Mytilus edulis: one gene and its partner. The protein of the gene in region 2 purifies or fractionates together with the protein of the main gene of each other region. This does not show direct contact. Links are inferred from orthologs where the notes say so. Each region holds a gene or a part of one and is shown on either strand. Other genes may lie near its edges.

What was found. Proteins that work in one complex are often made in the same cells at the same time.
Region 1: the proteins of RNA cytidine acetyltransferase-like (region 2) and THUMP domain-containing protein 1-like purify together in Homo sapiens (co-immunoprecipitation; 3 studies listed by BioGRID and IntAct, counting the BioPlex papers as one, with this or other methods). This does not show direct contact. The link is inferred for Mytilus edulis from reciprocal best matches to the Homo sapiens genes NAT10 and THUMPD1.

Annotation. Positions count from the first base shown.
Region 1 is NC_092352.1:15,219,444-15,226,874, forward strand, and holds the start of THUMP domain-containing protein 1-like, read right to left. Parts: upstream 3,015-7,431; 5' UTR 2,893-3,014; intron 509-2,892; 5' UTR 502-508; coding exon 298-501; intron 1-297. Other genes in the region: uncharacterized protein, read left to right, coding at 3,047-3,105, 7,026-7,431. UniProt on the Homo sapiens protein: Functions as a tRNA-binding adapter to mediate NAT10-dependent tRNA acetylation modifying cytidine to N4-acetylcytidine (ac4C).
Region 2 is NC_092350.1:32,050,338-32,057,506, reverse strand, and holds the start of RNA cytidine acetyltransferase-like, read right to left. Parts: upstream 3,020-7,169; 5' UTR 2,730-3,019; exon of another isoform or gene 2,684-2,729; intron 1-2,683. Other genes in the region: meiosis 1 arrest protein-like, read left to right, coding at 5,504-5,561, 6,071-6,234. UniProt on the Homo sapiens protein: RNA cytidine acetyltransferase that catalyzes the formation of N(4)-acetylcytidine (ac4C) modification on mRNAs, 18S rRNA and tRNAs.

The DNA of each region.
Region 1 (7,431 bases), on a different chromosome or scaffold from region 2:
GTCACATTCTTATGTGTCTGTCCCATTGGTTGTCCATGAACCTTGATGAGTCAACTGTACCATATGGCATATTGTTTGGATTTTCCCCATTACAGAAGGCCGTACCGTACGGTTGCCCATAATTTCTTGTCCACTTCTTTTGAACTTTTATGGATAGTTGTCTCATTGACAATCATGCCACATCTCCTTATTTTTATATCACACTACATGCTGAAATAGCAAACTAGAAATAATGATTCCTAACCTGTCCCTGAAAATACTACCATTAAAACAATTAAGAGAAGCTGACAAACATACCTCTTCTGGTCCGTACAACTTATCAGCATATTCATTTAACAAGTTGTACATTTCTCTAACAGCTTGTTTCTCGTTACCATTACAAGTGACAAGGAATCCTCTCATGTCTGTGTCCAGGTTGTTTCCATGTGATACTTTCTTGTGAGCACATTTTAAATAATAAGATTTTGGTCTTTTCTTTCCCCTTCCTTGTTTGTCACTCATCTTTTGTCTGAAGAAAAAATCAACATAGAGTTTATTTGACCACAATATTAGCGAAATCTATAATATTAATTTCATTCTAAGACATGGGGGCCATTTTAAAAAAAATGAGGCAAAAGTGTGACAACTAGTCAGCAAGGAATGAGTGAAAAACAATTATGTGCAAATTGTAATACATGAAAAGGATTTATAATTAGATATAAGAAGATGTGGTATGAGTGCCAATGAGACAACTCTCTCATCCAAGTCACAATTTGTAAAAGTAAACTATTATTATAGGTCAAAGTATGGTCTTCAACACAAGGCCTTGGCTCACACTGAACAGCAAGCTATAAAGCCCCAAAAATGACATGTATAAAACCATTCAGTTTCTGGAGCTATTTTCTGTATGTCCCGTGCTCAGAATTCCTTATCTAGCCCTATTTAGTGTTTTGAGGAATATTTTTGCCAGCTTCCTCACTACTAATTCACAGGAATTGCTTTGGTGGTCTCATGGTAGCTTGTTTGTTAGCTCTTAGGTTAGAAACCCAGGCCTGGTCAAACCAAAGTCTAAAGCTGGACAGTGGTATTTGCTGCTACTCTTTCCCACGTTTAACAAAATGTAGATTTATTATAATGACCAATTTATGTCATTTATACTCCAAAACAAGCCACCCAACTTATAATTATTTCCATGCCACTGCATATTCATGAATTTAAAGAATTTATACCATATAAATATGAGGGTCGTAATAAAGGGTACTATCATGATGAATAACTGTAAAACAATTGACATTAAGCACTGCTGTCATTAGGGAATTGTACTTATTGTCCTCTTGCATCGTGGAAAGAATAATACAATAAGTTGTCAGGCTGTGTATAGACTGTATAGGTTGTGTGGTCTGAATGTTCATTTAACTTTCTCCCCCAAAATAGACAACATTTTATCAGCAATTCCGTACCATTTCGACTGGCTTCCCTTGGCCAGAGGTACTGCTTCCAATCGCGTCAGGAATGCTGTAAAATGTTTCGGTCGCCGAGAGTAAAGGACAAAGTATAAATATCGCTAGTCTATATGTTGAATTTGAACTATGTATCGTTCATCAAACTATCGGGAATGGCCAGTTTTCTGTAAAAATGGTTGTATCTCGAGGGTTGTATGTTTGATTACCATATTTTCGGGAGCTTAAGATTGAATTTAAAGAATACGAAATCGGGCAATTTAATTTCAAATTAATTCTGTAAGAGAGAAATAATTTCCTATCACTGTTCTTTTCCTCCTTAAGGCTCGTATTGAGTTAAGATGGTCCGTTATTATCTATTTCTCTTCTAGTGTTTGATGGCAGCATTCTCGGAAGGTTCCTGTGGGTGCCTCAACAAAATATAACTTTGTTTACTGTGTGCGAATGGCTAGTATGATTAGCGCTGGTTGCAACGGCGGTTTCCTTACGGAATGCAGGGGTTCACGATAAAAAATAAAATCAATTACAAACGAAAGTGAACCAACGCCTGGTGTGTCTGTAGTACGGTAGAGTCTTATAACAACAACACTTTAGGGACTGCTGCAAAAAATTTATTGATCGACATGTTTTGGTGCCTAGGGCACTGTCATCAGGATAAAAACAATACATAAAATCATGCTGAAGAACAAAATCGGGTTGTTAAAATTTAAACGTCACAATGTTACAATGGTAAGTAACGTTATTAATAGCAACTGAAAGTGAAAGTGAAAGTTCATTGAAAGTATGGAAGTAAACTATAAAAAGAAATTAAAATAAAATGTTTTTGTTGTGAAAATGTTTGTTAAAATTATTCTGCCAACATGTGTTTGTCCTCTTGCATCGTGGAAAGAATAATACAATAAGTTGTCAGGCTGTGTTCATTTAACTTTCTTCCCCAAAATAGACGACATTTTATCAGCAATTCCGTACCATTTCGACTGACTTGACTGGAAGCAGTACCTCTGGCCAAGGGAAGCCAGTCGAAATGGTACATAATTGCTGATAAAATGTCGTGCTTTTTCAGCATGATTTTATGTATTGTTTTTATCCTGATGACGGTGCCCTAGGCACCGAAACATGTCGATCAATAAATTTTCTGCAGCAGTCCCTAAAGTGTTGTTGTTATAAGACTCTCTACACTTTATGTTTTTTATCATAACGACCCTGCATACCCGGAGAGATATCCACTTTATGGACTCTACCGTACTACAGACTCACCAGGCGTTGGTTCACTTTCGTTTGTAATTGAAATTATAAAATTGTTTGGGTTTTTTTTTTGGCTGATTGGTGAAAATATAACCATCACAAATTATACAGGTCATGGAATTATGTATCTTAACTATATACTGAATACATAAAAAATAAAGAATGTAAAAGTGCTTGTCTTTGATTAATAAAGCACAGCTGTGTTTACCTGTTTTTGATGCAAACAGTGTTCTGTATTGTGGAAAAAAGGAGTGTGTGCTTTTGAGCTTCAACATGTATGGAAAGATCTAGAGAAACTCAAATTGCATGAAAGAAAAGGAAATAATCCGAGAAGTTCCGCAAATATTTCCCACATTTTAAAGATGGCGGACGTATCTTTAGATGATTACATTCAGAAAAAGAACTTTACTGTTCAAATTAGGTACTGAAAAAGCATTTAACCTAATTCTTAAGAGATTCTTATCTTTTCACCAACAACAAAATAGCAAACAACATTTTTGTAATCCAATAAACGGCCAACGAGTAGCATTACAAGGAAAACAAAAACCAAAAGTAGTTTCATAGAAGAGAAAGCAAAATAAATATCATGAATATTGATGATTTTAGGAAACGAAAAGTGATTTTTCATAGCTACCCCACAATTAACACTGGAAGTAAACATGCACAATTTTAAATCTAATTCGATTTTATATATAAGAAAATCATGATTGTTTTGTGTTATAAAAAAGATGTGGAATGATTGCCAATGAGACAACTCTCCTCAAGAGACCAAATGACACAGAAATTAACAACTACAATGTATAGGTCACTGTACAACCTTCATGACTGAACAAAGCCCATACTGATAGTCAGCTATAAAAAGTCTGGAAATGAAAAATGTAAAACAATTCAAACGAGAAAAACTAACTTCCTAATTTATATTAATTTGCTTTGATGTCAATACACCTTATCGCTAATCCCGGCTGACCCGACCGCTTGAACTTTTGATGCATACAACAATCACTTTTCCATTGTGGCGTCAGATATTTTGTTTTATGACGTCAAAATTTTACGGGAACCTGTGTGATATCCAGTAATGGCGGACAAATAGCGATAAGGTGTATACTGCATGTGCAAATGTATTTAGCTTGGTATAAATAAATCTGAAGATAAATTAAACTAAACAACTTGGCCTTTGATCTCACTTTATCTATAGTAATACACTAATCAAAACATGATTAACAATGAAAAAAAAACATTTATATATACTAAACAAAACTCGATTAAAAAATTATTGGTGTCAAATTATTGAGAAAAAAAACTAATAAAAAGGTGTAAAAGTGAGAGGGGGTGAACGCAACCATATTCACCAAACAGTGTATTTGATTGTAAATTGTTGCAAAGCTTATGATAGTAAGTCTTCTGTATAAGAAAAAGATTGTTGATAATTACGTCCTTTTGTACGGGTGTAACGCATTCACAAAATACCAACTCGAAACTGGTGTATTAATCTATGAACACTATTGATGTATTACACTTTCACCAGGACAAAACAAGATATAAATTGCAATAAGGACTATATATATATATATATCCATTCAGGAAATTCACCTCTAGGGATTCAAGAGTGAATATGATTAACAGTTTAGTGACAGAATATTATTATGTATCCTCCTCTCAATTATTGAAACCTAGACTTTTAGGTTACAAATCATTGTGTCTTCTCTTTACATGTAAGTTTAACTAAAAATGTCAAGGAAACGTCTGATTTAACAAAGAACAGATTTCATCACATCTATTGGGTAAAGAGTAACCATTATTTTTGTTGTCTTGTTCACTTTCCAATTATATTTATCCTTTGGTGCACTGCAGTTGTTGTCCCTTTGTCCAGGACCTTAGTCTATGGACCCAAATGCCTCACTTTTCAACCAACAATAATAGCTGCGTTAAGTGTTTACAATTTTATGTTGCTATATTTACCTCAGGACGGCAAAATCCATGAAATCAGATCTAGTTACAACTCCACTGCTTGCGTCCATTCAAAAGACCTTTTTGTGGAAGTGTTCTTGCCTTCTCTGAAAGACTATAATTTTATATGTATACTAGAACACACCCGTATATCGCGGATCCGTGACTGAATTAAAGTATATAACTATGTGCAAGCCTTATTTTAGTATTAGTATTGTCATCTGATAAAGTCATGCTGATTAATAGACCCTGTTCACACTAGCATTTTTTTTTATCGATCTAATTTGAATCGATCTAAATAAAACCAGTTAGCGTTCACATTATCTTTAATCATATCGATCTCTATCGGTCTAATATGAACCACTGCGTTCACACTACAATTAAAAACCAATAGAACTAAAACCGTAAAACTATAAACATTGTGCATAAATAGAACTGATTAATCAAATTCATGTGCTGATACACTGATACACACACTTGGAAAAAAAATGGATAAATTTATTGTTTCTCTTGAATCACAATTTAAAATTTTGATACTGGTGTTATTGTAGTTTTCTTTAATTTTGAAAAAAATAACTGTAGCAACGAAGTTACAACACGACGCCGGAAATCCTGCGGTTCCTGCAAAGAAAAAAAATCAACATAAGAAAAGAAGACACAGATTTCGCAAATCTATGCTATGGCGAAGACAACATGTTTACAGTTTGTTTTAAAGGTCTTTTAACAGAAAAATATGGGTTAAACAACGAACCTCTGAGATAGTTGTGCCGCTATACATGCGTATACGTTATTTTCGATTCAATCATACTAGTTTAAACCGATCTCTGCGTTAACATCTAAAGTAAGATCGGTTTACTTTAGATCAATTCAAACTAAACTACCTCTTTTGGTGTTTTAGTTTAGACCGATTGAAGATCGATTCAATGCGTTCACATTAGCCCTTAAACCAATCTAAAGTGAACCGGTCTAGTTTAAATCGATAAAAATGTCCAAGTGTGAACGGGGTCTTTCACAGTTTTCTCTGCTTTCAAATCTTTCTGTTTGAACCCGTCAAACTGGAACTTATCAATTATTGATAATATTAAAATTATTTGGAAAACAAAAGGTCCTGGAATGGAGTATTTTTTAATCAACAGCATTGTCCTATATTAGTTATAAATATTGAATTCTTTGATTCGCTGTTTTACGTCATGCCCGCTAACAAATTGAAAACTGTACCTATACGCCTTATTTTAGTCCAGATTTTTTTAGTATTTGTATTGTTATCTTAGAAAGTCTAACTGATTAAAATACTACAATAGGTAACAATTTGACAATTTTAAAAGTAGTGTCAACCCTGTGATTATGACCCGTGTAATACTATATAGCATATTAATCCTGAATACACCGTTTGGTGGTGCGCCTGTCAGATGCGGAACGTACAGATAAGGTAATCGGTAACAGGTGAATATACTATTGGTATCGTTATCGGACTCGACCCAGAACTTCTTAATTATTGACAATATTAATTACGCGGAAAACAAAAGGGCCTGGAGTGGTGTAATTTTTAATCTACAACTTTGTACTATATTAGTTATATATAAAGTTGATTTTTTTGATTCGTCGTTTTTACGTGATGACGGCTGACAAATAGGACCTCGTAATTTTAGTATTATAGATGTACATTGACAGTGTGTGCTTTTATGACAAAATATGAGAAATAAACAAGTACTAGGTAAATTTTACAAAGAAGTGAATATCCTATAAAATTCTTTCATTACATGTATGCAGGGTTCATATTTCATGCATTTATATTGAGAAAATTGGAAGCCAAAAGTTAAATCTGAAATATATGAATCTTTGTTTTGTTACCATTTAAGATAGAGCAAGAGTTTATTTCCTCTTGATGGAACTTCTATTTACACAATAATTTGTCATTCACTCAGCAGTATAAGTAAATTTCGATTGAGGTATTTTAATTTTATTATTTCATGTGTTATTCTTATCATACTACCTACATGTATGTAATACAAAAGAGTTATTTTCATTTTATATTCAGTATTATTTCTTTCCTTGAAGACTAAATGAAAACATGCAGCGAGAAATGAAAAATTTAACAAGCCAGCATTAACTGTAAAGAACAGTCACAGTTTAGTAACTGTACATACTGTGTCAATAATTTGAAGATATGTTTAATTTTGGCTTCTCGATAACCAGAAAAGCAGCTTTTCAGGGCCAATGAGGGGTTTAACAACTACTATCAAAACTTAAATTCTGTTGGAACATATGTATATTTGCAGTAGATTCAATCTCGTAACTGTTGTGAATCTGTATGCTATTTTTTTTAACGAGGGTTGTATGAAACATTGGGCTGCAACTTCTTAACTATGTAATTGATATCAATTTTTATTTTAGGAATACTGGAAATGAAAGCAGAGCAGGCAAAAGTTTTGTTAAAGGAAAAGTTAAATTTCAAAAACAGACAAATCGGTCTCCAAGGACAAACAGAGTAACATTTAGAAGTCCAAAGAATGTTATGATGCAAAAGCAGAGGAATGGGCGTTTGTCTCTGCAAACTAAAAAGAATAACATTATGTCATTACAAACTCGTAAAAATAAAGGACTACAGGATAAATCGAATATCAAACCCATTTCTGTGTCGTTTCAAAATAAAAATCTGTCTGGTTTTAATAAGACAGCTTTCGATGCAAGAGACAAAATCGCTGCAGCTAAACGTCCAAATGATGCACGTGACAAACTAGCAGCCAAAGCTAAATTATCTGATGCTAGGATGAAAATTCAGCAAAATAAAAATAAACAG
Region 2 (7,169 bases):
TTCGTGGGTACATGAGAACCACGAATTCAAATATTCAACGAATTACAAATATCCTGAAGGAATGTGTGCAGACTTTGGCAAAACCACGAAATCAAATATCCACAAATATGCAAATTTTTCTCAAACCACGAAAATTGGTACCCACGAAAATAAATGAATCCACAGTAGTCAATAAGTAAACTTCACTCAAGTCAATCAGCATTAAAAGATGTCACTAGATGTTAAGCAAACTACACTCAATTTATCAACATGAAAAGATTTGAGTAACTTCATCCATACACATAGCTGCGAAAACGTAGCTCTTAATACAAGGTCCTTTTGATGATTTTTGATATTTGCGGACATCTTTTTACATTTTTATATAATATCTTTCTCAGGAGTGGGAAACATTGCAATTCTGTTGTTAGCACTTCTCCCTGGGCATGTAAAACTGTAAATCTAACTTGTTGCAGAAAATAGATACTTAGTCAGCCGTAAGCGGTTCAGCTAAGGAAGTACTTCTTTAGCTCAGTTGGCACATATCTGTCGCACTGCCTTATAACAGACTTCCCTGGTTTGAGTCCCAAATGATTTTGTAACAAGAATCATGCTCTCCCATTACATTTGGCACCCAACAATAAAACCAACGGTTAGAGGAATATTACCTAGCCCGGGAATAATATATATAAAAATGAATATATCATCATTGTAGAGTATAATCACTCTTGAGGTGGGGACATGTAACAGGATTGCTTCCATAAATAGTAAAATGTGGTAGATGCAAAGTTAGCCGTAAGCAGTGGAGCTAAGGAATTACTTTTATTAGTTCAGTGGGTATACACACTGACTTGTAACACAGTAGTGTAGTAATTGTTAACAGCGAGCAATACTGTTGTTGAATAAAAGAAAAAAAAGACTTATAACACAGAGACCTAGGTTCAGACATTGGGTGACGAGCAATTTTGTAATGAAATTTATGCTCTCCGGTCACATACTGAACTAGTCCAACTAATTATGACGGCAAGGCTATTTTAATTTTGCCTTGCCAGACGTCAAAATTATTTCGACTAATACTGAATTCAAATTCATATTTCTAGTTATTCAGACCGACACAGAAGCAACAGTGTGAGTTTTGGTTATATACTTGAGTATTAAGAAAGATTAGGCTACATTTGTGAATTTGTGAGAAAACTGTCTTAACCAGGTCAGGAATAACCACCAATTGGTGGATTATACCTCAATTGACGTATAATGGTATAGACCAATTGGTGTATAATTCTTTGTTTTTCAAAAGAAATTATTCTATCAAAATGGAGCATTGTTTTCTTAAAACCATATTATGGTATGAAAACTTGTCAAACATTCCTAGTTTAGTATAGTGACATAACATATTGCATTTAATCAATAATTGTATTTGCAGTTTCTTCTATTGTTATCTTGTCAATTCTTGATTGGCAAATTTACCTGTAATCACCTGTCAATGGACATCATTACTGTCTGCAGTCATGCGATCATGAGTACAACTCCACAGGTGAATGGAGCTCTTTGTTAATACTTGACTTTCATTATCAAAAGTCAATCATGGTCAATAGTACAAATGTTTCAACAAAAGAATTGTTGTACACATGCATTCTTTAATAGTTATCCCATAAGGACGCGGTGTGTCAGTGTAAGATCACCCCGATGGCCGGAGGCCAGAGGGTGATCTAACACTGACACACCAAGTCCGACTGGGATAACTATTTTACATCCCAGCTGTTTTAGATTAGACGAAAAACCATTTACAATTCATAAAATCTAGTTTAGAACGCCACACAACCATAACAATATACTTTATATATTACTATATGATGTATACCCTTTTTGACCCCCAAACACGATGAGTAGATATCAAACAATGTCAACTCGACCCACTTGCCAATCGGCCCACGCTTTATCGCCACTTTATAAAAATATCCTCCCAATCTTGTTTACCGACTTGCCCCACTTTGAAAAAGTGTAAAATCAAATTGAACAATCAGTCTGAAAACTCACAAATTAACGTAAAAGGTTAAAACCCCACTGAATAAAGGTTTGACAACTCGCCCCACTAATAAAAATATCTTGCTTCCTTTAAGTATGTCAAATTACTATTATTTCGTATCAAGTCGTCCTGGTGTAGTGGTATGTGTCGTGGCTTGATATGCTAAAGGTCTTGAGTTCGAATCCCAGCATATCTACTGGATTTTTCTACGTGAATTTTGATAGATAGTCTTTTCCGTAAAATTAATTATAAGTTTTATAGTGGATTTGACATTCCCGCCAAAATGTTACAGAACAAAGGAAAGCATGCATAACAAAGAAACTCAAACTAGGGTGATCTGGCAGGGGTGATCCGGTTCAGATCACCCCTGTTAGAACAAAGGAGCTGGGATGTAACAAGAGATGCAGCAGGCTTTGACAAAACTGAAACTTTCAGAGGACTCAATAAGGGCCATAAAATAGGTTGCAAGTTGCAAAATCATGCTCCTATCTCACACTAGCATTCTATTACAAAAAAATTGCATTATACGTCAATTGGTCTATACCAATATACTTCAATTGGTGGATTATACGTCAATTGAGGTATAATCCACCAATTGGTGGTTATTCCTGACCTGTTAACTGGTGTTTTTCTGAGATCAAACGTTTTTGTTTTAAAACCTGGTTTGTATGAATAACTTACATTGTTTTACATATAAAATATGTTTTACAGTGAGATACTGTCTTACTTGTCACGCAGTATGTAGATGTTCGAGCCTCGATGTTCACAAAAACGAAGTACAGTGGTAAACATTTGTGTTTTGCTTTTTCAACACGTGCTTCCGGTAATAAACCGACTTCGGAGATGGAGGCGAAACATATCGGATACGACAAATCGAATATTCTCAACACAATTTCACTGAATTTGTCATTCACCACAATGTTGCGGCTTGAAGAGTTTTTTACATTTATATATTTTGTTACTCAAATACCAATAGTGTACTTGGTCCCTACTTGGTCGTGTGGTGCCATAGCATTTTTAAAAATTCATAAAAAATGTTTCCGGAATATCTTGACCGTTTCAGTAAGCATTTCTCAAATTAGTTTATGAACTTCCTGTTTGTAATTTTTCGTCTGCAAAACAAAAATAGATTGATACACCTGCATTTAGTTAAGCACTAGCCAAGTAAAGATTGAGTTGATACTAAAACATTATTTCTACAAAGTAAATGATTGGTGGTGCCTAATGCCAGTCAGCAATACTTATTCCATGTTTTGAGAAGCATGCATGCAGTCTCAATCCCCAATTTTAATCCAGAGACATACAAATATTGTATTGGCACAAACTCAATTACAATAATTGGCAACGGCCCATACAACTATTATACTAATAGTAATGATGCAGCAATTAAACAATATTACATAGTATATCATTGTGCACATTATGAACAATGAAATGTGCAGTTATAAATATCAATATATATAGGTTAATAGACTACTGACATAAGTATATTGTATGTTATAGCTTCAAATTGTTCATATTACTCATTTATAAGTACATTTTTCCTTAATTCAAATGATTGATTAATAAAAGATGATATTAATCTAAGTGTTTTTCTACACTTGTTATTAAGTAATAGTTTGATATACAGATATATGGACCATAATTTAGTATTCAGACTTTGGTTTCTTTTTGTATCCTTTTTTTATAAGTTCTAAAACTTTAACTTTTATTCTGTGGGTTGTGTTGGTGTTAGAATAGTATTAATGGAACAATTGAGTTTTTTAAGAAAAAATTAATACATTTTGATTCACCGTTTACGTGACAGGAAACCAATCTTTATTTTCTTTATTTTGCACAATATATTTCAAAAGACATATATGAACACATTACTAGTGCTACTTGCTTCATGTTAATATTTAAAATCTATTTTCAATGTTTCAGGGTCTGTGCTATTGTTTTTTAAATTTTCAACAATATTATTAATAAAAATAGTAAATAGTAAAGGGCTTAGAACATCGCCTTGTTTGACACCTCTTTCAGATATGAAAGATATGTGTATATATATGTCTTTGTTTAATCTTAATAACATTGGAGCTCACGGTGACATTCCCCAGGATTTTTTTAAAGCACTAGTGACCACATGCAGTGATATATATTGCTTGATAGTGTTACAGGATACACCTTATCGCTATTTGTCTGCTAGGACTGGATATCACACAGGTTCCATGTAAAATTTTGAAGTCATAAAACAAAATATTTTACTCCACAATGGAAAGTGATTGTGTATGACATCAAAAGTACAAGCAGCTGGGTAAGCCGGGATTAGCGATAAGGTGTATTGCTCTCCTTAGTACATGCAGTATATTCTACCTTAGCGGATGAGCTTAAGAAGTTCTTCTATTGCTTAGTCAGTTTACACTCTTCCTTGTAACACAGAGGTCCCATGTTTGCCTCCCAGAGGAGACAAAGATGATTTTGTATTTTTTGTATGTTGAATCTAGTTAAATCTACCGTAGTCCAAATAATCATGCTCCCCAGTTACAATTGGTGCCCAAATTAGAAAAAAAAACATTTGGGTCTAAGAGGGGATACACATGAATGCATAACAGAAATTAGTTACATGTACATTTTCATCCAATGCATAGATATTTGAAATAAATTTAATAATATTTTGATTTAATTAGTATCCCCATTTTACAGAGTATAAGTATGCACCATAGTAGATGTATCTATGACTCTGTACATTTTTACTTGAGTACACTTATATTAATGTATTTCATTTACAAATTCTTATTCTGAACATTCATGAAATATTTGCCACTGGGCATTTAGCAAACATCAGTTAATACATCTTCCCAAATTACTCATTGTTACTTACACTTAAGAAAAGATGAATGACAAAATTATTAGATATTAAGTATAATTTGATATTATTACTCATCTCTCAAGTAACAACTTACATTCGCAATCCGTAAATTATTTCATATCATCTAGGGATATTAGTATTACCTTTTCCATAAAAAGTTATTTAATGCAATTAAACTTTGAAGACATGTTCAAATAAATAACAACATATTCAAAGTTTCATCTATTTACAGGAAATCATTTTTTTTATTTTTCAAGGTGAGAAACCATGTCTTGGTCCCAATATGCATGTAATATTTGCAACTGGATGTTAAACACCTATCACACATCATTATCCATTGAATGGTAACTTGTTGAGGACTTAAATATCATTATCCCTTGTCTTTGATAGATAGTTAACTGATTGTCAATCTTATCATATTTTCTTATTCTGATATATTGTTATGATCACTTTGCTTGAATAACTGTATATATATATAAAAAAGATGATGTGGTATGATTGCCAATGAGACAACTCTCCACAAGAGACCAAAATGTAGTCTTTCTCCATATATTTAAGAGAACTTTTATTATTTGTTATATTTTGTAGATGGCAGTAAAGACAATACAGATGTGATATTTTATTATCTAGTCACTTAAACATCATCTGCTGATATGGCAGGCAACATGAAAAAAATAGAGGGTACAAGGATGCTGCTTGGTAAACAACCTGGTAAGTATGTTTTACAAATGCAGATTATTTATTTGACATGAAGCCACCTGCAATTTCACCAATTAGATTATTATGAGGTTTTTTTTTTATCCTTTAACAGATCTGATGTGAGTAGGGTTATGTTCAAGAATGCTAATTTTTAATGTCATGACATAGTTCATAATTCTTTATTTTGGTCATTTTTATTTTTAAGATAGGTATTTTGAGGTGTTAAGATGGGATTTTATTTTATCCTTTTGTTTTTTTTAAAGATTAAATTGGTAAAATTCTGTCTGAAGTTGTATATATATAGTTCATAGTATTTTGCTTATATTCTAGATGTATTCTCTATACTGTATGCCCATAACCATGTAGCAAGTCAAATCTATAGTATACATGGGGACCTTTCCATGTCTGTATTTTGACAACAGTTGCTATATATTTCGTTGGGACATGTTGATGAAGCCACCCACAAAAATCACAAAAATTGGTATGCCACAAATAAAAGTACAGTATAATTTATTTTTCAGCCAGAATGTTGTTGGTTGACACGTCCTATCCACTATTAACATTTAGAGAACTGGTCAATGATTTATGTCAGACCTTAGAGAATGTGTTCTCTGTTGCTACAAACATTGGTGGACCATCAAGGATGCCATTTTTCAGTCTTATGTCTCTTGGATCGTATCCAGAGGTATGTTAAATATTCACGTTGTTTATTATCTTAATAATGTGTTATAGTATTCTTTTATTTGTCTTTATCAATATTACTTTTACTGTTAAGTCTGTTTTTTTAAGATATCAATTTGACGTGACTCTGTGCTTATGTATCCCATCATACTTTGAATGACAAAATTATTTTATTTATTAATATTGCTTTTACTTATGTATCTTGTAATACTTTGAATGACAAAATTATTTTATTTATTAATACTACTTTTACTGTTAAAGTCATAAGAAACGAGTGACCGGTGAAAAATATTGTTCTTCCAATTCTTAAACCAATACATACAAACATCATAAACTTAGTCTTCTGTGCTCGAATTTATCATTTTTTTCGTGTAAATATCGTATAATCGTCAATTGTTTTTTTCAATCGGTCAGTGTTGTTGTGAAAATATGGCAGGTAATTAAAGTTCGTGTTTTAAAGCCGAAGTTTAACGATTGTCACCTGTTTGTCAACAATTGACGAAAAATAAACAAAAAAGCATGGAAATTGAGCACGTGTTTAACATGTAAATTCAGATAATAGTTTATTTTAAGGACATCCATGCGTATTGTGCAATCTCATTAAAATCCGATGTTCTGATACGCTACCATCTCATTAAAATCCGATGTTCTGATACGCTACCCTCACGTTAGTGGAGGGTAGCGTATCAGAACATCGGATTTTAATGAGATTGGCGTATTGTGGTCACCGGATTTTTACGAGATGGGTCACACTGAGGTCATCTTGCATACGGAAAATATATCGGGGGAATTGCTTGCTGGAAGGAAGCAATTCAAATAATGTAAACTTCTTCTAAATATGAATAAATTAAAGAATTTTCTTCAGAAAAAAGTATATGTACATAAGTTTTACAATGAAAACTATCCATTGAGTTATAAAAAACATATGCAATACTTTTT